Linked DNA regions of Saccharomyces cerevisiae S288C. The gene in region 2 interacts genetically with the main gene of each other region. Each region holds a gene or a part of one and is shown on either strand. Other genes may lie near its edges. The genes, in order: SIP1, SIP2, SIR2 and BCY1.

Evidence for each region.
Region 1: mutations in SIP2 (region 2) and SIP1 impair growth when combined (synthetic growth defect), as found in Saccharomyces cerevisiae (8 studies listed by BioGRID, with this or other methods).
Region 3: of SIP2 (region 2) and SIR2, changing one suppresses a phenotype caused by changing the other (phenotypic suppression), as found in Saccharomyces cerevisiae (2 studies listed by BioGRID).
Region 4: mutations in SIP2 (region 2) and BCY1 together harm fitness more than expected from each alone (negative genetic interaction), as found in Saccharomyces cerevisiae (2 studies listed by BioGRID).

What each region holds. Positions count from the first base shown.
Region 1 is NC_001136.10:1,313,232-1,319,756, forward strand, and holds SIP1 (Sip1p), read right to left. Parts: upstream 4,543-6,525; coding exon 2,095-4,542; downstream 1-2,094. Other genes in the region: ARO80 (Aro80p), read left to right, coding at 1-1,661; CAD1 (Cad1p), read right to left, coding at 4,815-6,044; DYN2 (dynein light chain), read right to left, coding at 6,156-6,386, 6,467-6,489. UniProt on the Saccharomyces cerevisiae protein: Beta subunit of the SNF1 kinase complex, which is required for transcriptional, metabolic, and developmental adaptations in response to glucose limitation.
Region 2 is NC_001139.9:94,431-99,771, reverse strand, and holds SIP2 (Sip2p), read right to left. Parts: upstream 2,435-5,341; coding exon 1,187-2,434; downstream 1-1,186. Other genes in the region: chromatin-remodeling protein SPT16, read right to left, coding at 1-803; MIG2 (Mig2p), read right to left, coding at 2,766-3,914; Rab family GTPase YPT32, read right to left, coding at 5,312-5,341. UniProt on the Saccharomyces cerevisiae protein: Beta subunit of the SNF1 kinase complex, which is required for transcriptional, metabolic, and developmental adaptations in response to glucose limitation.
Region 3 is NC_001136.10:375,392-380,780, forward strand, and holds SIR2 (NAD-dependent histone deacetylase SIR2), read right to left. Parts: upstream 3,055-5,389; coding exon 1,366-3,054; downstream 1-1,365. Other genes in the region: spliceosome assembly protein PRP11, read right to left, coding at 289-1,089; peptide alpha-N-acetyltransferase complex A subunit NAT1, read right to left, coding at 3,483-5,389. UniProt on the Saccharomyces cerevisiae protein: NAD-dependent deacetylase, which participates in a wide range of cellular events including chromosome silencing, chromosome segregation, DNA recombination and the determination of life span.
Region 4 is NC_001141.2:289,919-293,197, forward strand, and holds BCY1 (cAMP-dependent protein kinase regulatory subunit BCY1), read right to left. Parts: upstream 1,752-3,279; coding exon 501-1,751; downstream 1-500. Other genes in the region: CAP2 (F-actin-capping protein subunit beta), read right to left, coding at 1-171; SUMO protease ULP2, read left to right, coding at 2,715-3,279. UniProt on the Saccharomyces cerevisiae protein: Regulatory subunit of the cyclic AMP-dependent protein kinase (PKA), an effector of the Ras/cAMP pathway. Inhibits PKA activity in the absence of cAMP. cAMP activates PKA and promotes growth and proliferation in response to good nutrient conditions.

The DNA.
Region 1 (6,525 bases), on a different chromosome or scaffold from region 2:
TGCTGACAGGGTCTGCAGTAAGGCTGGCGCAAGATATGGGATTCATTGAAAACAGCTCAAAAGTATTCATTGTCACTCATATATCTGAGACTACCAGTGCTATGAATATGAATCAAAGATCCTTATTAGCAGAATCATTCAGCGTTTTAAACTTGAATTTAGGAAAAATTGAAAACGATGGAAATGAAAGCAATGAGGATTACCTTGGGAATGAAAAATTTTATCTGAATGAGATTTTGCCTGATGAAGAAAGTAAACTAAGGTGGAAGAGAGTTTTTGAAAACTCAGAAAATGACCACGACAACGAGAAAAATTTTTTGACTGATTGGGAGAGGGAGTTTTTAAACGATGAGTATGTTCTATATTATTCTAATAAAAAAGATGATACTAATCTAGCACAGAATCACATACCACCATTTCCACTAAGATTCTCATTCGCCCAAAGAGCAAAAATAGAGATCATTCGAATCCTATCCATAGCATATGAGACGATTTACTGTGAGAAGAATAAGAGGAAATTGGCAACGACAGATCAGAGACACAACCTCTCTGTCCTAAGTGTTTTTTCTCCCTTGATAGAGGGCTGGCTCAGTAACTACAGAGAGCTTCTTGTACCCCTTTCTGATGTCCCTTTCTCACTAGCAGATAGGAAGAACAAAAAACAAATATTTGATAACATCGATAGAATAAATGGTGAAAGTATTATCACAGATTTCAATTATTGTCAACTTTATATCTTTTCCCTCGCACTGCAAGTGGATGGGAAAACAAGCAGATTGAATATGAATGAAATTGTGACAAGCGCGAGGTATGTGGAATTAGCATACAGATCTGCAAAAGAAATATTGAGTTCTGCAAAGCGAGTTTCAAGGCAAGGAATGCTAAAATACATGCCCGTAAGATGGGTAATACGAATAATTAGATCCATTGCGTTCATAGTAAAATGCTACCTAACACTTACTGGTAGTGAACTGGCAACAAATCCAGATGCCAGAAACATTTTAAAATTAAGTGCAATATCGGTTGACGAAACATTCGATATCATCCGTGACACTGCGGTTACTTTGAAAGAAGCTACACCAGATGAATTACATCTATGTCAAAGATACGCAGCCATATTAATGTACTTATGTACAGAGATGAAACTTCGAAAAAAATCTTACTTAGAACGACCACCCTTATTAAGAGATGGCACCACTCCTCTAGAGAGCAATCGCGAATCCTCACTGGAGGGACAAGACTTAACTAAGAAGCCAATATTCTCTAAACGTATTGGATATAATAAAACCGAGACTACTTTTGAACCCTCGGAAAGGCCTTTGACGGAGGAAATTAATAGCAATTCTCAGAATTCAAATGATACATCTTCTAAAGGTATCGTTGATCCTTTTGTTGAACAAAACAACGATATCACAACAGCGTTACTGAACAATGAACTCTTCCAAGGTCCATCTCTATCTGACGAGGTTACAGATTGGTTCGGTGCTAGTGAAGATATCGGGCTTGAATTTGTAGAACCATGGACAGAACTTATTGAGCAACGATATATGCAATGTGGAGATGGTGATAATAATAATTTCGAAAATTTATACAACTTGTTCGTGAATAGTAATAACATCAATAATGATATTAATAACTCAAGGCCAATAACGCGTAAATAAGTAGATATCAAAGAATTACGTCATCAACCAAGACAACCGCACTATTCGTAAAAATGATTTTAAATACAAAGACAGAATAACAGGGGAAGATGGAGGTATATAATAATGCGAATGCTTCATAATACTATGACTGGTTTTCCATTGGGCATATGAGATGATTTTACGGCTCAATCACTACTTATATATGATTTCTATAACAAAGCAGGCCATTACACATTAGGAACGGCTATCTATTACATAAGAATATGCAGCAAATTCGTTGGATATGTTAAAGTATATTCCACGCATGCTGAGAAGTGGATTGCCAGAAACGTGACGTGAAATACCTACTAGAACAAAAAAAAAAGGAATGCAAACGTTCTAGGAGCCATAGGAATCAAAAAGAAAAAAATTGAATTAATAGAGTTCGTGAGAATCATTGCGAATTGAGATTCTAATTACTGATCTGAGACTTTTGTGTTTTATAATAACAAGGTGCATAAACTACTTGAGTGATAAATTTCCCCTCATATCTAGTAGTGCAAGCTACGCTGATTATTTCATCTCTAATACTGCTTGTCAGTAAATGGTTCAAATTCACGTGGGGTATAATATGATTTATCGCACCTTCATCCCTCTCATGTGATTCTGAATTCTGATTGCTTTGGTTTAGTATTCTGTTCAGATAGGATGAATTCAGGTATATGGGCAAGTCAGGAACTGGGTATCTACTTAGAAAAACCGCCTCTGCTGTTTCTGCATCAATATTACCGCCTTGCTGTAAAGTAGCAAATAAATCATCTTGATTACAGTCAACAACTCTATGTGTAAAGCTGGGAGGTTCTTGGGGATGCACGTCATCAGAATCTCCTTTTACAGAAATCGTAGAGCCGTCACCTATATTAAATAAATTTGGTATTTCGTTCGAATACACCAACCTCTCAGGCTTGACCTCGGCCATCAAATCCAAACTGCTAGCCTTCAGACGTACAAATGAGTCACGCATATTTATTGAACTGGACCTACTTAAGCCTCTATAATCTGAAAACGGTGTACTTGGCCTTTCAACACCCTTAGCAGAATAGTAGGAAGATTTTCGAGAGGAAGAAGGAAATCTTTTAAGTTCCGGTCTCTTGGGCAATTCTTCATCCAGTGTTGGCTCTACTTGCGAGTCGATGTCTGCTTCGTTTCTAAATGGCTCGATCGTATGATAACCGGGCAATACTTCAAACCAGTTGACAAAATTGCCTTCTGAATCCGTAGCTGTAGGAAGAAAATTTGAGTGAGTCAATATACCATTGATGGAGAATTGCAGTCTATAAATTCCTGCAGGCAAAAAAAGATCTGGAACAAACCATTCCTTATGCACATCATCATAAACCATGCGGATCCTAGGATTTAACTGTTTTTCTGAGTCTAAACTTGCATTCTCATCCAAGGTAAGCTCTCTTTGCTCTTTAAGAGCAGAAGCAATATCCGTGCTTACTATAAAGACTTCCGTGGTTGCAGCCACGGTACCATCGTCTTTCCATTTTAGAACAACTAAAGTATTTTCGGTGGAGTTTGTTGATGATATTGAAGACATACTCGACATGGAATTAGAGTGATGCGATATTTCTCTATGCTGCGGTGCAGAGTATTGACTTTCATTGTCGTTAATAATTGGATGTAGTGGATGCAAAGGCTGCAAATTCAAACCGTTTGTTAAGATACTCTTTCTTGATTGTAAAGAATGCAAAGAAGCAAATGAGGATCTTCTCGAATTTGAAACCGACCTTATTTTTTTATTCTGGGCTTTCTTTGTCTTATTATGGTGCTTATTTAAATCTCTTTCCATCAAGGTCTTATCACCGTACAGTTTCATCATCATTTTTGCAGTAGCAGATATAGGTGCGGTAAAATCGTCGTTGGAGCCTCCCGCGTTTCCCTTGTTACGGGTGTTATTTTCAATATTTCCATTGTTATTAGCGTGGCTTATCCTTTCTGCAGTATACATTGAATTAGAGGAATTCACCCTTGAAAGACGTTGCATATCCTTTTTTAAAGCATTTTGTAAAAGAGACTGGTTCAAAACCATATCTTCACTTTGAAGTACGCCTGCTTCTGCATCTACACTATCACTGTTTCCCTCTTTATCCATTTGAGAGTTCTCAGAAAATGTTTCGTCGTTATTGAGATATTGATATTGGTATGCATGGATAGATGGTTTCTTTGAATAGGGTTGTCTTACAGGAATATCAATGGAATCCGTCTTGGTCAAGGCGGGAAGTGATGCTGAATGCACCGATGAAGACCTCGTTGGAGAAGGGGAAGCAGTAGCTGAACTTTCTAAAAGATTTTTTTTCAAAGCTATGATGCTTGAGCGATGCCTTTCATGGTGTGGTTTGTCGTTTCTTTCATTTTCTGTTGTTTCGTCAACCATGGTGTAATTCAAAGTAGACAGATCATCCAGATCACTTTTAGTTCGTTTGACAGTGGCCATTGATGGACCTGGGCTCAAAAACGACGGAGATTTCACCTGCTCTTCGGGTGCACCCACATCGTGATCATCACTTAAAGTCAAATTGGCCAACGTAGTGTCATTTACGTCTGCGGCAGAGGACAAAGAATAATCCTTTTTGAATAGATGGGACGGGCCCTTATCGATAGTAGTATCACTGCTCATGCGCCCATCACAATCTGTCGATGGATCGTGAGATGCAAGTAATTGCATTCTAGGGGGAATGGCACCATTATGTTCGCTAGTATGACTGGCGCGTCTCTTATGAGTACTCTTCCTATTGTTAAACAGTTGAGAGGTTATGCTTCCCTGACGATCTTTATTGAATGCATCATGAAAATGATGTCCATGCTCCTTTTTGGTTGAATGCGATGGATCCTGAGTAGAAGGACTGTTTCCCATGGCGGCTGCAACAACTATATAATATGACAGTTCAACTTTCCAAGATGTCAGTCCACACGCAAAAAAAGAAGTGCAAATGAAAGAAACACTAGGTAAGACACCTTGTTTATGTAGGTATCCACTTGTATCGGATATATCTACCATTGTTAATTGTCAATAGTATTCCATCAGAGACAATGGTAAAAAGACAAAAAAGGTATAATCATCGTACAAAGCGATCAATATTACATGCTCTCATCCAACATTATGTATACTCAAGATATGTTTATATGCTACAGGAGCTGTCTAACCAGAGCACTCTGTAAGTCGCGAGCTTTGACTACTATTTTGCAGTCATCTGTACATTTTGCCTTGATTATTAATTCGCTGCATAAATCATCTATGTCCAACGATGAATATTTTGGTAGGGAGGAGATCTCTTCGAGAATGTGGTAGCAAGACGCTTTTCCATTCGATATGGCGCTGCTAATGTGTTCAATTGCTTCAGATTGGGTTCGAATTGTTTTAGTATGAGAAGCAGCCACCGGAAGCACCGAAGCTAGAGATTTCTGATTCAACAGGTGGCTTGTTATTAAGTCGCATTTGATCTCCTTATTTGAACATGGTTTGGTCCCGATACACTTGCGGTTGCAAATATTATTACACTGGCTCCCTACAGCAAGGGGAAGCACGCTGGGGAATAAAGTATCATCTTCTGTCTCGTATGGAAGATACTTTTGGTCAATTTCACATTGACATGCTGACGTATCTATTTTTTCAGCGGTCAGGCGTTCAGAGTGCTGAGGAAAGTAGTTATGAATGTCGTAATCTAAAGCTTCTAGACCAGTCTGTCTATCATTGGAGACAAGATCGAGACTGAAATCTGGCATTTCACTACCATTAATACTTTCGTCACCGATGGTAACGGCACCTGTTCGATTTCCGGGGGGAGAATCCCACGAATTGGTTAAACTGGGAGCGTTCCATGAGCCTATGTTCCACATAACTTTCTCATTCTCTTGAGTGTGCGGCTGTACTTCTATACTTGTGTTCACAGTCATGTTTTCATCTGAATTAGGCGATGGCAATTCCTTTGCAGCCTTGCTAACTGCTGTACTTGTTCCTTTTTCGTTTTCCCTTTTCTGTTGTTCTTGCAGATCATCGAGGAAGGCTAATATTCTTTCATCATCAGAATTCTTAGCTCTATATTTTGTAATTTCCGACAGTAAACTTTTTAAAGAACATAGTAAAAAGTCCGTGGTAGTCTTATTCTGCGCATCTTTCTGTTCTAGTAACTCTACCCTCTCTTGCAAACTCTTCATTTTGGCTTCTTTCCTATCTCGGAACGCTCGTTGAGCTGCCCTATTCTGGGCAGTCCTCCTACTCTTAGCTTCAGAGTCAATCCTTTTTCTGCCTGGTCTGCCCACCTTCCTCTTAGGTGTTCCATCTTTATTTAGCAACATTTGCTTCTTCATGTCACCTGCTAAATATATTTGCTGACCTTTCCGAAGGATATTGCCCATTTATCTTAACTGGTCGTTCCATTGCTTATATGTCGTCCTTAAAAGTAACACCCCATTCGTATGAAAGTATAATAGTAATTGATTATCGATTAACTATTGAAGAAACACTATTTATGCTGTTTTGAAAACTAAAAACGCCAGTGGACCGATATAGAAATAAACAAAATGGCCCTTTTCGTGTGTCACGTAGCTCCCAAAGTTCTTTCCGACAATCACATGCCAGGTATTGCCGTATTTGACATCCAATTGCTTCTTTACCGTCCCAGCAATGTCTCTTTCCAACTGGTACTTGTCCAGAGCATCTTTACTGATGGTTAAAATATCCTCTTTCAGCTTGTCGGTCTAAGTTTTCTCCTTGTTAGTAAATATATATATTCAAATGTACACACACAAAACATGTATATCATGGCACAATTACATACTATGTCAGACGCCTTAACAATAGCTGCAATTCATGGAAGAAAACCTCACTCTTCCTCGA
Region 2 (5,341 bases):
TCAAACTTTTTCCCGGACTGAATGATTGGAGAATAGGTCCAATCCAATAAATCAAAGTTGAATTTGTAGTTTGGTGGGCATAATGCGCTTAAATCGGGACTCAATTGCTTCAAAAATTTCACATCATCAATTTTATTTTCAATTTTGTCTGATAACTTGGCATTGGTGATTTTCAACTCCTCGTCAACTGCCCGAACCATTTCATTGGATAAAAGGTCCATAAATTTGTCCGACCCCTTACTTGAAACGGACAGGAAGGCTTGTTCGTTAACATCCTTCACTTCCCAAACTTTAGAAAGACCCAGCGAAATATCAATGACATTGAATTCGTTCTCCTTCACAGCCGCTTCCCATACTGGGTTCCACTCAGTCATAAATTTACCTTGGTAAGAGTCCTTTTCAGGGATACCCACTGTTTTACCAGCGCTATTGATTAAGGCAATAACGTCATCAAATAACTTTTTATTGAGTTCTGGTTCTTTATTGTTTCTTTGCCACAATTCCAGCGTAATTTTGCTTTCAGGGTCTTTAAATAGATCAATTGCCTTTTGTAAATGCTTGGCCTTGGCAGAACTAGTAATTATAATAACCTTTCCGGGAACTAATGCAATCAAAGTAGCGGGAAATTCGTAACTTAGCAACCAATTATGCAATATGGTCGTCTTCTGGTACGGGTTTTCAGCGTTGGACGAACCTAAAACAAACAGCAGCGAATTTGGAGAACCTTCAAACTCATTGTACTTGGAATACAACAATTCAATCCTTTTCTTAAATACGTCAAAATCAATATTCAGCTCTTCCATATTCACTTAAATACACGAAGCCAGTTCACGAAAGGTGCAATATCAGAAAGGAGTAAAGTTGGAATAGCTGAACTTTTTACCTTTTAGTCCCGTGACTCTCTTAGCTACTTTTATTCCTCTTCTCACCAATATTAAGATTTCAATATTCTTTCGTTAGAAAAGTGGCGATTCTCATTTTCCGAAAAAAAAAAAGATCACGCGACTTCCGGGTATTAGTATCGTGGTTTGTGATAACAATAAGCATTGAGAGTACTGAGCCCATTAGTAAATCATTATGTTATATGCTTCTATATCTCTGCTTACACTAAATTGGAAATAGAAATTAGTGTGCCATAGCTGCCAAAAATATATACAATACGCCTTTAAAAAGTAGGAATCCCGGATTACGAGGACTCTATGGGCGTATAAAGAATCTGGGTGACATATTTCTGTTTATATCGAACGATGGAGGCTACACAAAGTGTATTGTGCTTAATGCTACTAGTAACCAAGTGGTTAAGCACCACATGGTTCGGAATGGGCAGAGCGCCTGAGTTGTTCTCGTTGAACTGGTCTTGCGTGGCATAGTATTTATTCAAGATAACATTCTCCAACTGAGGAGGTAATTGGGGTGGTGTCAGCCATGACGTATCAGTATTGCTTTGCTGACGATCCAAGGTATAATAGTATCGTTCCATGACAGACGGGTCAGTAAACACGGCGGGAATGTCTGTTGTATATTCCAACGGAGGTCTGGGTGACAGATCTTCATGAAACCTTGTATATCCGTCACCAAAATCGTCTGGATCCTTACCAATTTGTAGAGCAATTGAGGATCGATCGCTGGTGGGAGGTCGCATGGAATCTGCTTCCTTGGACCTTATCTTTTCGTTAGTTGGGTTTTTTTCTGGTTGCCTGACTTCTATGTAATTGACGAAGTTTCCCATCTGATCAGTTGCTGTGGGCAGGAAATCACTAACTCTAAGCTCATTATCCACTATAAATCTGAATCTATGTGTGCCTGGAAGCAGCCTTAGCTTCACATGAAATGAGCCATTATTGTCAGAATCAGGTATCAAACCGATCATTTTCCTCCATTTGGTGAATGAGCCTGTCACGTAAACTTTTGAACCACCTTGCTGCCACCTTATCTCCACGGGAACCATTAATGAGCTCTTGATTTCACTTGGACCTCCCGAAGCTTCTTTGGCACGTATTTGCTGTTGTCCCTCCTCTCTGGGCGAAGAATGGCCTGAGCGATCATCATCAGGACTGGCATCTTGCTTGGGCTCTGTCGTCTGGGCAATAATATCTCCCTCTTCATCATCGCTAGTAGACGAAGACCCAGAGTCAGTGTCCACAGCAGTTTCCATAACAGATAGCTTTGGCATAGTGGGCTCGTCCTCATCACGCAGCAATAACGTCGATTTTTTTTTGGTAATAGATCCCTCCCTTGAAGGCTGCCCCGCGTCTTGGGAATCTGAACATTTATTTAAGCTCAGTTCAGTAACTTTCTTGCTCACAGCATCCATTTCTTGCGGTTCGCAGCCTTGAGCATTGCTGGGTTTTTCTCTAACGTCACTCATGATAGGTGCACGACACTTTTTTGTTGTTTGCTTTTTTTGGGCTGGATGACTTGTCGTAGTACCCATAGAAACTTCACTGCTCTCAGTACCCTTCCAAAAGCACAATTATTTCAGATACTTTTCATTTCCCAGGAATCTTGTGGTGTATTTATCCTTTCCCTAAAAGATTTTGACGATCCGAAAACGCAAGGTAAATCTTTACTCGGTCCAAGGGAGCAATATAAAAGACCATGCCGGCCGCAATTCGTATAGGTAAACGTGCTATTCATGACGATGCTAGTTAGTGATATGCATGGTTATCTATTTAATCTATCTATGTAAGTACGCGTTATATGCTAAGTTGTTTCATGACAGTTCGTTAGAGGAAAAATGGTGAGATAAAAAGGGGCCGTAAAGGTTAAACTCTTTTGGGACCGTTGAAAACATCAATTTGTTTCAGTAGGTTACGTACAGGCGGCAATTTTACGCCTGACAATTTCTTTCGGCTTTTGCTAGATTCATGATCTAGCGACTCGTGCTCCTCCTCATTACTACCACTGCTGCTGTTATTGGTATCTTCTTCTTGTTCTTCAGGAATTTCGAATTTTGCTCTTTCCCTCCTAGTCTTGGTGGTGTATCTATTGGAATCTAAATAGACGGACTCAAGTTCTTTGGCCACGGCGAGCTGAGAAGGAGCATTGCTGAAAGGCAAAGAGATAGCGCTGCTGGATGCAGAGGTATGACTGGAATCACTTGGTGAGGATGGTGATTCTATAGTGGTGGAAGGGGCACTTACAGGCGTTCTTTTTTGTAAGGTAGATAATGCAGATGCAAGAGAATGTGCAAAAGTTTTCTGCTGCTTGGCAACAGAAGGGCTGGCAGTTTGATGCTGATACTGCTGTGGGATATGTTGCTGGTGTAAATATCCATCATTCGGAGAGTTTGGCACAGAGCGTGGAGTGTTTACGCGAACATTCATGTTCGAGAAGATAGATGAAACATCACTATTTGACTGTATGGAGCCAATAGAGCTCTGGAAAGAGGTGAATGATTGCGATGGAACTGGAGTGTATGTAGAAATTGGCATAGGAGAAGTTGCAGGCTGGAAAGATGCAGCGGAGGCATGAATGGGGGCTGGTTGGGCCATGATTGGTATCACCATTGGGTGCACCGCATTGGGAGCGTGTATAATGTTACCTCCATTTACTGCCTGAACATTTATGGCCATATTTGCTGGTAGGACTTGCGGTATTGGTTGGTGTATCATCACGCCCGATGCAATGGTAGGAATTCCGCTTACTGTCAAAAACTCCTGTTTCTGTACGCTAGCTTTCTTCAATCTCCTTTGAGATTGCCCTGTATGCGTTCTCATGTGCCTTTTCAGTTCATCGCTTCTACTGAAACTTTTCCCACAACCAGGAAATGCGCAATGATGAGGTTTTTCCCCAGTGTGTGTTCTCAAGTGTCTCTTTTTATGTTCTAACCGATGGAAACCACGGTGACAGGTATCACATCTAAAAGGTCTGTTTTCGTTATCTACTGGGAAATTCGTTTGCTTTTTAGGCATTCTCTTTTTTTATTTTTATTTTGTTTGTTCTCGAGGTCAATAGTCTTAGCGTGAGTTAAAACTTAATTGAGAGTTAAGATAAGCTACACAATGGTAATAGTACAAGGACAAGCACACAATTTGACAGGCAGATCGTAAGTTACTACGTATTATAGACGGGTTTCCCAATCGCTTATATACCAGAAACGCTTTTGACCGGGAATGATTTTCGGAAAAACTTTCTCGCACGGATTATTTACCGTATCCTCGTACGAGATTTTTCTCAGCGGCATATAATTTAGAGTTATTACTTCAGTTTTGCGGGTGCTCCGTGGATGTCTCCGCGGATAAATTTTCGGATGAGCCAAAAAAGTGGAGGCGGGGTTTCTTATCCCGGCTTTTTTTCTTCTTCGTATGAGCCTATCAATCATTAACTGATGGTAATACGCTAACTTCAATGGGGAAAGGGGAGAGCTAGTTGACGCAAGCTCCGCAGGGGCGATAGGGCAACTACAGCACATCGCCACAGCTTATTAATTCGCACCGTGGAGATGATGGTCGCTCGTAAATCAGCTCAGTGAAGATTATCGTTTGCCATCGTGCTTCTCATATTACATATTCAAACAAACTACCACAGAACTATCATTGGGGTAGGTATAGCTCAAATTCAACAAGGCCTGCCTTAAGGGCCATAAACTATTTTATACTTTCTTTGTTTTTACAAGTGGGGGAAAGAAAGAGCGACAACCGATTTTTCTAACCTTCTTGGAACCGAGAACGGTAATTTCCGTAAATAAAACGCAATTACTGTATCGAGCGAGTTTGTTTTCCGAAACACGCTCTAATGTAGATTCGAAAAAATAATGATATCAAAGATGAGTAGGCCAATATGAAAAAATAACAAAAAACTTAGCAACAGAAATTGAATCATTGTCGTACCCCATCCTTGCGTACGTAAACAGCCTTCCTTCTCCTGCCTACCCCTCACGTCGTCTCGGATAAACCTTCAAAACCCGCAATTTCGGAAAAACTTCCAATATAAACCATGACGAAATTTGTATCCGGGAAGGTACGTGAAATACACAGAGCGAACGTTTATAAAACCGTCTAATTCTGCTCATGCGTGCGGAAAAAAACATACACGTGTGTTTTTAGACTGCACAACAACAGAATATTTAAATCGTAAAAAAAAAATCATATTCTTATCTTCGGCTATTGCAAAATGCAGGCGTCAGGAAAGGTCTATTTAGAAAATGTATGTACGTTAATACATTTTTTCTTGCGTGCAACGAAGGTTAGTAATAAATAACTTGGGAAGGTATATGTAATTGATTATATTTATAAAAGCATTATTAACGGGGGTTATATGTAGACAGAATATGCATGAAACCATGCGACCTTAGTAGGGCACAAAATTTTTAACAACAGTTGCTGGATTTTTTCTTCTT
Region 3 (5,389 bases), on a different chromosome or scaffold from region 2:
CTAATTACATTTTTCTGAATAAATACGTATGTATGCTGCGAGTACTAGATACTGTTGATAAATGGTAACATAAATACTCTAGATCGCAAAAGCGCATGGAAGTTGAGCAGTAATATAATTTTAGAGGAATATGGTTATTATACTCCCTGAGAATAAGTGCACATTGGATGGGAAAATTTCGTAAAAAAAACTCTTGTAAAGACAATTGTTTCCTTAATAGCTATTATATAATCCAATTTGGTTAGAGTTTTGTATGCCGATTATTAACGTTACCCAAAAATAATACTGTCATACATCGGCTTGTTCTTGTTCGGCTTGTTTAAAGAAAAATTGAACGTAATAAAGTTTTGATATAGCATCCCAAAATGTACACTTTTTATTTAATTCATCTACTCCATCGTTATTATTGTCCATGTCATTGTTTTCGCTGAATAATATTTCGTTTGGAGGTAGCTCAATAGCAATATTTTCAAAGGGTTCATACGCAATAACGAGAAATTTTTTTCCCTTCTGTTTGGTATCTGATAGCTCTAAACCAGATACAATCCTAATGAGAGGAGGGACTTTAGCCTTATCATCGCTATCGACACTATTTTCTTTGACTTCACTGCTATAATTTACCTGGATAGCCAAACCTACTGAACCGTTCTTCGGGTTTTTCACGGTAGCTATTTTACAAACAGGGATCGTACCGTTATTCTTTAAAGATTGCTTAGCTTCAATTATCTTTTGTTGTTGTCGGAAATCATGAGTTGTTTGGCCTTCTCTCCCTAGAGAACTTTTCTCTATACTGATACCACGCCTTAACACATTTAAACCATGTTTTTTACCACCCAAATGCCTTTCAACGCTGGACCACGACATGTGCATTGTATTACATAGTTTACAAACCAGTTTACCGGAATGATTCTTGTAAATGTACGGATTGGACCTTACTTGATCGTCCTTTTCATCTTGGAAAGTGTACGGGACATTTTCGCCTTTACTAAGTAATGATTCGACTTCTTTCCTTCGTTGTAAGTTAAACTGAGATTCTGAGGCTATACCACCACCTCCTTTCTTTGACCCAACGCCTTCTAAATAGTTCATTTTGAATGTATGGATGCGTTAAATGATTTGAATTTGCTGTTCCACCTGCCCTTCTTACATTAAGCTATTTGTGAGAGCCTTGCGTCTTTAGCAGATTTTTTTTTTTCATTTTTTTAGTGAGATGGGCGGTACATGTAATATTTCACCCGGTACAATGAAAATAGCAGAATGTAAATAATATTTGACTACAATAATTGAAAGGAAAACAAAATTGTTTGCCATACTATGTAAATTGATATTAATTTGGCACTTTTAAATTATTAAATTGCCTTCTACTTAGAGGGTTTTGGGATGTTCATCTGATGTAACGACATACACGCCCTTATCCTTCTCTTGGCATTTAAAGTTCTTGTTCTTCAAATCGTTCCATTTCTTATGCGGAATCGTCCAGCCACATTTTTGGGCTACCATAGCTGCAATGTCATCACAGTACCCCAAAAGAGATAAATCAAATTCTGCGTGCTTGACGGGATCACGATTAATCAGGACTTGGGGAACGTGGGAAGGAACCATGTTTACGATTTCAGACACTGGCGCTACTTTTAAACTTGTCCCAATGCAAATCAACAAATCACATTCTAAGATATCTTCGCGAATGCTCTTATGAAATTTATTTGGCAGTGCTTCGCCAAAGAATGTGATATCTGGTTTGAGAACGCCATATGAGTTAAGGATATATGGAGGCCTTTCCGACATTGAACCCTGTGATGCAGCAACACCTACTTTATTATTATATCCCTCTGGGAAATATTCTCTTCTTTTTTTGTAACAGTACGGGCATAGTGGAAGTTCGAGGTTTCTAATTTTATTAAATATCCTCTCACCGGGTAGGTTCCAATGGCAGGTAACGCAGGTGGCAGTAGCAAAAGAGCCATGGCACTGCACCAGTTTATCTGTGCTTATTCCCGCATAAGATTCCAAATTATCAATGTTTTGAGTATAATTTCTCAATAATTTCCCTTTCATTTGTAGCATCTTAATGAAACTATGCAATGGAGAATAAATTTTTTCTGGAGGTAAAACCATATTGGCAATATTATAGAAAACAGAGGGGTCGTGCATAAATATATTGTAATTGAAAACGTCTTGGGGATCATCGAGCCCCAAATGTTTGATCTTTGAATAGAACCCCTCAGAAGATCTGAAGTCCGGGATCCCTAATGAAGTTGAAACACCTGCACCAGTCAGGACCAAAATTTTTCTAGCGGTATGTAATTTTTGAATAAAATGATCAATAGTGAAAAAATTGGATAATCTTAATCTTGTACATAGAACTTTGTTAATTGCTCTTTGCAAATCTTTGATTAGACGAACTGTTTGCTTTTTTGCCAATGGGTCTTCAACATTTGTGACAGATATTGCACTTCCCAAATCTTGAACACGCTCTTGCGAGTTGATATGGACAATACTGTTGATGGTGCCGATAAGCGCTTGATCTTTAACTTCAAAGCCTAGCAACTTGATAAGATAGTAAATGTATAACGAGTTCAAATCCTCGGGGAGGTAAGTGTCTAAAAATTTGTGTGCACCATAGTATTTCAGAAACATTCGAGCATTGAGAGACTCTCGTTTAGTGAAGGAGGGACCATAGAAAATACCATTTGATGGGTTTTTACTGATTATGATTGGCCCCTTGGGCGTCTCTGGTTTCAAAACGTCATTGGACATTGACACTACTGAAGCTGCTGACACTGCCAAGGGATCCATGTCATTAGTTGGTTTGAGCTCCATCGATGCCACTTCTCCGAGCGCAGCTTTAGTGTGCCCAAGTGGATCTGTTGTGTTGGTTTCCCTCAAGGAATCCGGCTGTGCTACTTTTATCTTCTTATGTGAAGGTTCATCATTATTTATAATGTCATCGGGTTGTTTTCTGATCGCGTCTTTATCTTGTGTGGGGCTTACTGTATTTGAAACCTTATTTTCGCTAGTCTTTGATACGGCGTATTTCATATGTGGGATGGTCATCCAGCTTTAATGTGCCGATGAGGGAAAAATGGTTTGAATGTGTCTACCGAAGCGATGCCTAATTTCTTGAAATACGTGAGAATGGGCTTTACATCTCTTCACTAAATATATTTTTCTTGGGTGGTGAAAAAGACAAGTCTTTCAAACTATGCGACCTAGAAAAAAAATATTTTACCGCAACTGGCGGCCAAAGAGGACAAAGAAAAATTCCTCGTTTTTTCTCTGAGATGGGAAAGCAAGAATTTTGGCAAGAAAAGGTCCTGGCTGTCCTGGACCATGGTTGGAAGGAGTGCTAGATGTAGCTTGGAAAAGAAATGACCTATAACAATGTATCTTTTATGAGCATATGCGCATGCATATAAGCATATACATAAAAAATATATACATAAATTAAGTAAGAGTTAATTGACACATTGAGGAGTTGCAGGCTACAAGTAATACTGTAGAATTTCGTTCTGGGAGTGAGGCTCCAAGGGAGAAAGACTGCTAATAATCATTTCTTTCAAATTAGAGCTTCCGATCGGAACATCATCGCGATAGCGATACAGAAATAGCAGGCCATTTATATCATTCTTACCGAATTTTTCTTGGTAGAAATTCAGCCAATCGAAGCTATTGTTAGATATTTCGTTTAATGGGAAATTTTCAGAATACTCTTTTTCAAGGCTCTTCGTGACTACTTTCTTCAAAATTGGATCAAAGGGGGTGTCGTTTCTTGTGGCATGTAACAAAACAATGGCCATACTACCAAATAAACCGCTCGTGGTGCCAAATCTCTTAGCGAATTTGTTTAGAGAAGCAAAGCACAAAGCTAACTTTCCAATTCTGTAGTTAAATTCAAAGTCCAAAATATAATCCCTTTCGTCTTCTCTGACTTGCATGGAGTAGTTATTATAAAATTCGGTAGCGAAGTCCTCCATTGGAGTGGAGGTTTCAATCAACTTTTCGCCGAATACATCGTTATCTTGATCACTCGGATAAGCAGCAACACTCTTGGCTTCAGTTTCTTTCCGTTTGTTCATAGCGGCTGCTTCCTTCTTAGCTTTTTTCTTTTGGCTGCTACTATTTTGGCCATTATTTTGGATTTCATCTGAATTTTCATCTAAAGAATCGGACTTTCTTTTTAAGCGATCATCATGCATTTGAAAGTAAAGCTTTGATGCTTCCTTCATTGCGCGAACATACATGGGTTTGGTATAAAGTGCCTTTCCCCATTCTAACATCTCCAGATAGGCTCTTGGCGTACCTTTTCTCATACAGTATGAATGGAAATCCAACTGGTCATCTTCGAATTGTTTATAAAACTTTGGAATAGCGTTGAATCTTTTCAGCGCCAAACCTTTATATTTGCGAACAAGCCATTGGTTTTCTTTGATATCATTCGCAATTTGTTCGCTTTTATCACTTTCAACCTCTTTTTTTAGCGATGCTAAATCGTCTAATTTCTTTTTTCTATCCAGGTATAGTCTATAATAGGCTTCTGCCTGTTCTACGATGAACCAAGAAGCTTCCACAAGGTGTAAGTCCTTAATACCATTAACAGAATCATCGTTTTTGGTGAAAAGGGACGCGACTTCCACCGCCTTGTCGATATTGTTAGCCCTTAAAAAGTACTTAACCGTTTTACAGTTGATAAATCTATCCTGCAAATCAAGTTGCCTACCTTCCTCCAAAATTCCAGCCGCTGTGTCCATTAGGCCTAAGTGCTTCAGGATACGTGCCTTGAGGATGTAAAACTCAACTAAAGTTGGGGTGTGGTCAAGGGCAGCATCAATATATTCTTGGGCTTTCGGAAAATCCTTAAGGAAAAGGAAATGTTGAGACAAGTAATAATTGGTCCAAATAAAAGGAATTGGATCCTGCGTAGGATCTAATCCGGACAAATAATCAAGGACAATTTTCTCCAATAGTGGTGAAACCTTGGACTTCCTTCTTTGGTAAAGGGGTTTCACGTTGGAAAAAGTTGCTGGAACACCGCGCTCCAATTGAGGCAAAACATATTCTCTCAATTTTTTGCTGAGCTCTTCTTTGTCTTGAAGGAAAGTTAATGGAATAAATTTGGGTGGTTCGCATCTTGGATAAAATTGTTCAAGTTTTCCATACAAAGCCTTCTTCAATTTATTGTCACCTTGGATTCCCAAGGATACTTCCAGTAATTTGTAGTACTTAAAATTATCTGGATTTCTCTTGATCAGAGTTCTATAAACAATGGACGCGTCTTTCAATTGACCCAATTTCATGTAAATAGTTGCTTTTCTCTCTAATAAACCAAATTTATCAAAGACGCATGGCTCGATATCATTCAAATGTTTCAATACATTTTGTAACTTGTCTT
Region 4 (3,279 bases), on a different chromosome or scaffold from region 2:
GTTTGAATCGGCGGAATCTTTCTGTGTGGATAGGGGAACGTCTACTGAAGATAGTAAATCTTGTGCCAAATTTGGTTGTAATTCGATCAAGTTGTTTAGATTCTCCTGTAACGTGGTAGGATTTAGCCTCCTAAGAAGATCTAAAGCAGCATCGAATTGAGCATCAGACATTACGGTGGTGATTGTAGAGTTGGAGAGAGTTTTTGTATGTCACTTGATTGAACAGTTCTCCTTTATTTGTTACAAATGCTCTCATTTTTACGTTTTCCGTGGTGAAAAAAAAAAAAAAAAATGAACATATATACATGTAGTAACAGCAGTAGTAGATGAAGAATTTAGAGTTTAAACAGGTAACATAACGCTATAAGGGAAAGGAAAGTGGAGATGTTATACATTATATTTACGTAGACGTTGAAGGAAGAAGAAAGAAAAAGGGAACAGAAGAAGAAGAAAAAGAGAAAGGAAATTCATGTGGATTTAAGATCGCTTCCCCTTTTTACTTAATGTCTTGTAGGATCATTGAGCTTTAATACGTCTACTGCAGGACCCAGTAAACGTTGAAAACCACTTTTCCCCAATGTGGCAACTTTGGTTCTCTTTGTAGCAGTCACAGTGGCCTGTCTGGGCAAATCGTTTAGCAAGGCCACTTCACCGAAATAATCATGGTCTTTCAGTTTATTTATGACACCTTGGCCCTTCTTAGAGACGTCCACAGCTCCGTACTCAATTAAATAAAAGTTCTCCCCTTGATCACCCTCGCGAATGATTGTTTCACCCGGCTGGTAGATCTTGGTATCCAGTGCATCGGCAAGTTTGGCACGGTCGTACGTAGTCAAACTCTTCAAAACTGGCATGCTCTTCAAAAGATCGTCATACATGAGTCTCTTCTTGAAAGAGCTGCCCAAAAGTATTTTTCTGAAGGTGAGCCTGTCTAGAGCCCACAACAAACAGTCGGAGGTTGCTACAACGGTGGCAGCACGAGGGCTGTTGTACATAAGAGCAAGTTCCCCGAAACTGGAGCCTGGCCCGGAAGAGTTGACCTTGTTGTCGTTGACGTAGAAGTCAACAGTACCCTTTTCGACGACATAGAAGTAGTCCCCTTGGTCACCTTGCTTGATTATCGTAGCACCTTTGGGGACGGACTTCTCCTCCAGACAATTTATGACCAGCCTTTTTGAGTCGGAATCCAGCTTGTTGAACAGAAAGTTATTACGGATCGATTTTTCCAGTCTTTGCAATTGCTGCTCGGACTTTTCCTTATAGTGATCTGGAGTCCAATCGTCAAAATTGTTTGGTTGTAAGGTCTCACCACTAACAGAAGTACGCCTTTGGGCGTTGAAGTGCATTGGGAGTGGAGGAGTTGATGTCTTTTCTCTAGTATGCTGTTGTTCTTCCTGTGCTTGCTGGTGAGTGTCCTGTTCGTGCGGGTCTAAATTAAACCCACTTTTAAACACGTTGGAGTGTGGGTCCTCGTTCACAAAGGGGGATTTGAACATAACACTCGATCTGGATCTTGATTGAGATTGAGCTGATTGAGGTCTGGAAAATGACTCCTCTGGTTCCGGAAATAGAACAATGTTCTTTGCCTTAAATTCAGGCTCCCTGGCCTTGAGGAACGCTCTCTGTTGTTCCAGCCTTTTATTGAAATAGTTGGCGGAGAACTGAAGAAAGTCGGACGGATTAGCGGCGTTGATTTCGTTCTGGAACAGTTGCAATTCGGCTTGCGATTCCTTGGGCAAAGAAGATACCATCGTTTATTCTTACTGTTGTCTTTTGAAAATAATCTGCTTGTTGTAAATGATCTTCCTATTTATGTATGCGTGAAATGCGTGTAATGGATGTGATGATAGCGATCGCTTGACTTAGTCGAGGAAAGCGTAAAGTGTCCCTTTTTCTCTTTCCCTTTTCCCTGTTTGTTCAAATTTTCTCTTTTCTACCTTCCTCTTCGTTTTGCTCCTTGCCAGCAAAACGAGGAAGGACAAGAATTTTGGAGAGCGGCGGCGCGGCGCCATAATAAATGCACTTGAGCAAATGCAATAAGTTCAGCTTATGGCTTCTGCAACAAAGAAGAGGTCGGAATCCGAGCACAGTATAATCAATATATTATCAGGCAGAACAAAAGTGGCGGGTATAACACGAAGAAAGAAGGAAGGGTGGTGATTGGGTGCTTTGTTTTTTTCCGCTCGTCGTGGTGGCATGCGCTTTTTTTTTCTTGGGTGAAGATTAGCCGCCGAAGTCGTATGCTCCTCTTTTGAGCGTTTTGAAAGATAGAAAAAAGCTGAGTAAGTAAAATCGTCGGCGGCTAATCTGAAAAGTATATAAAGTCCTTTATATTTTCCACTCGTATTCTTTTCCCTCCTCCTTTTTTTTTTTACTTTCTCACGTATGGCTTGTTTCATTTATTATCAGATCAGTAATCACGTGCCGTGTCGTTAGAAATGACATTTGGTTCTTTGCCTTCTTTGTCCTTTTTCTATCTTCCTACTAAGAGAAACTATTATACAATACAATAAGAGAACATCGTGAAACAACATAAAAGATATCACGTCATCAGAGAGAGATAAAACATCACAACCAATTACATTACAGTGTATTCGTTTCTTCTTAGAGAGAGAAATAAAGAGCGGGATAAAAGGACACTACACAGTATACCCCATACCCAGGTGCAATAATACACGTATATCTATGTTTATTGCACATCAAACCCCACATATATGTCTGCCAGAAAACGCAAGTTTAATAGTCTCAAACCGCTAGACACCTTGAACAGCTCTCGTGCCAGCTCTCCAAGGTCCTCTGCTTCTCTACCGCCCAAAAGATATAACACTTTTCGTAAGGATCCGAAAATCGTTGATCATCTAAACAATGCTTCTACAAAGGATTTCTTACCAGTTTTGAGTATGAACAGCGAGAGTAAGAGGCAGATCGAATTGTCGGATAATGATGTTGATAATAATGATGAAGGTGAAGGCGTCAACAGTGGCTGTTCAGATCAAGATTTTGAACCTTTGCAAAGCTCTCCTTTGAAAAGACACTCATCACTCAAAAGCACTTCCAATGGTCTTTTGTTCCAAATGTCTAATAATCTGGGGAATGGTTCACCGGAACCGGCAGTAGCGAGCACTTCTCCAAATGGCTCAATTATTTCCACTAAACTAAATTTGAACGGCCAATTTTCTTGCGTTGATTCGAAAACATTGCGAATTTATCGGCATAAAGCACCATGCATAATGACTTTTGTCTCAGATCATAATCATCCGAAATTTTCATTGTATTTTC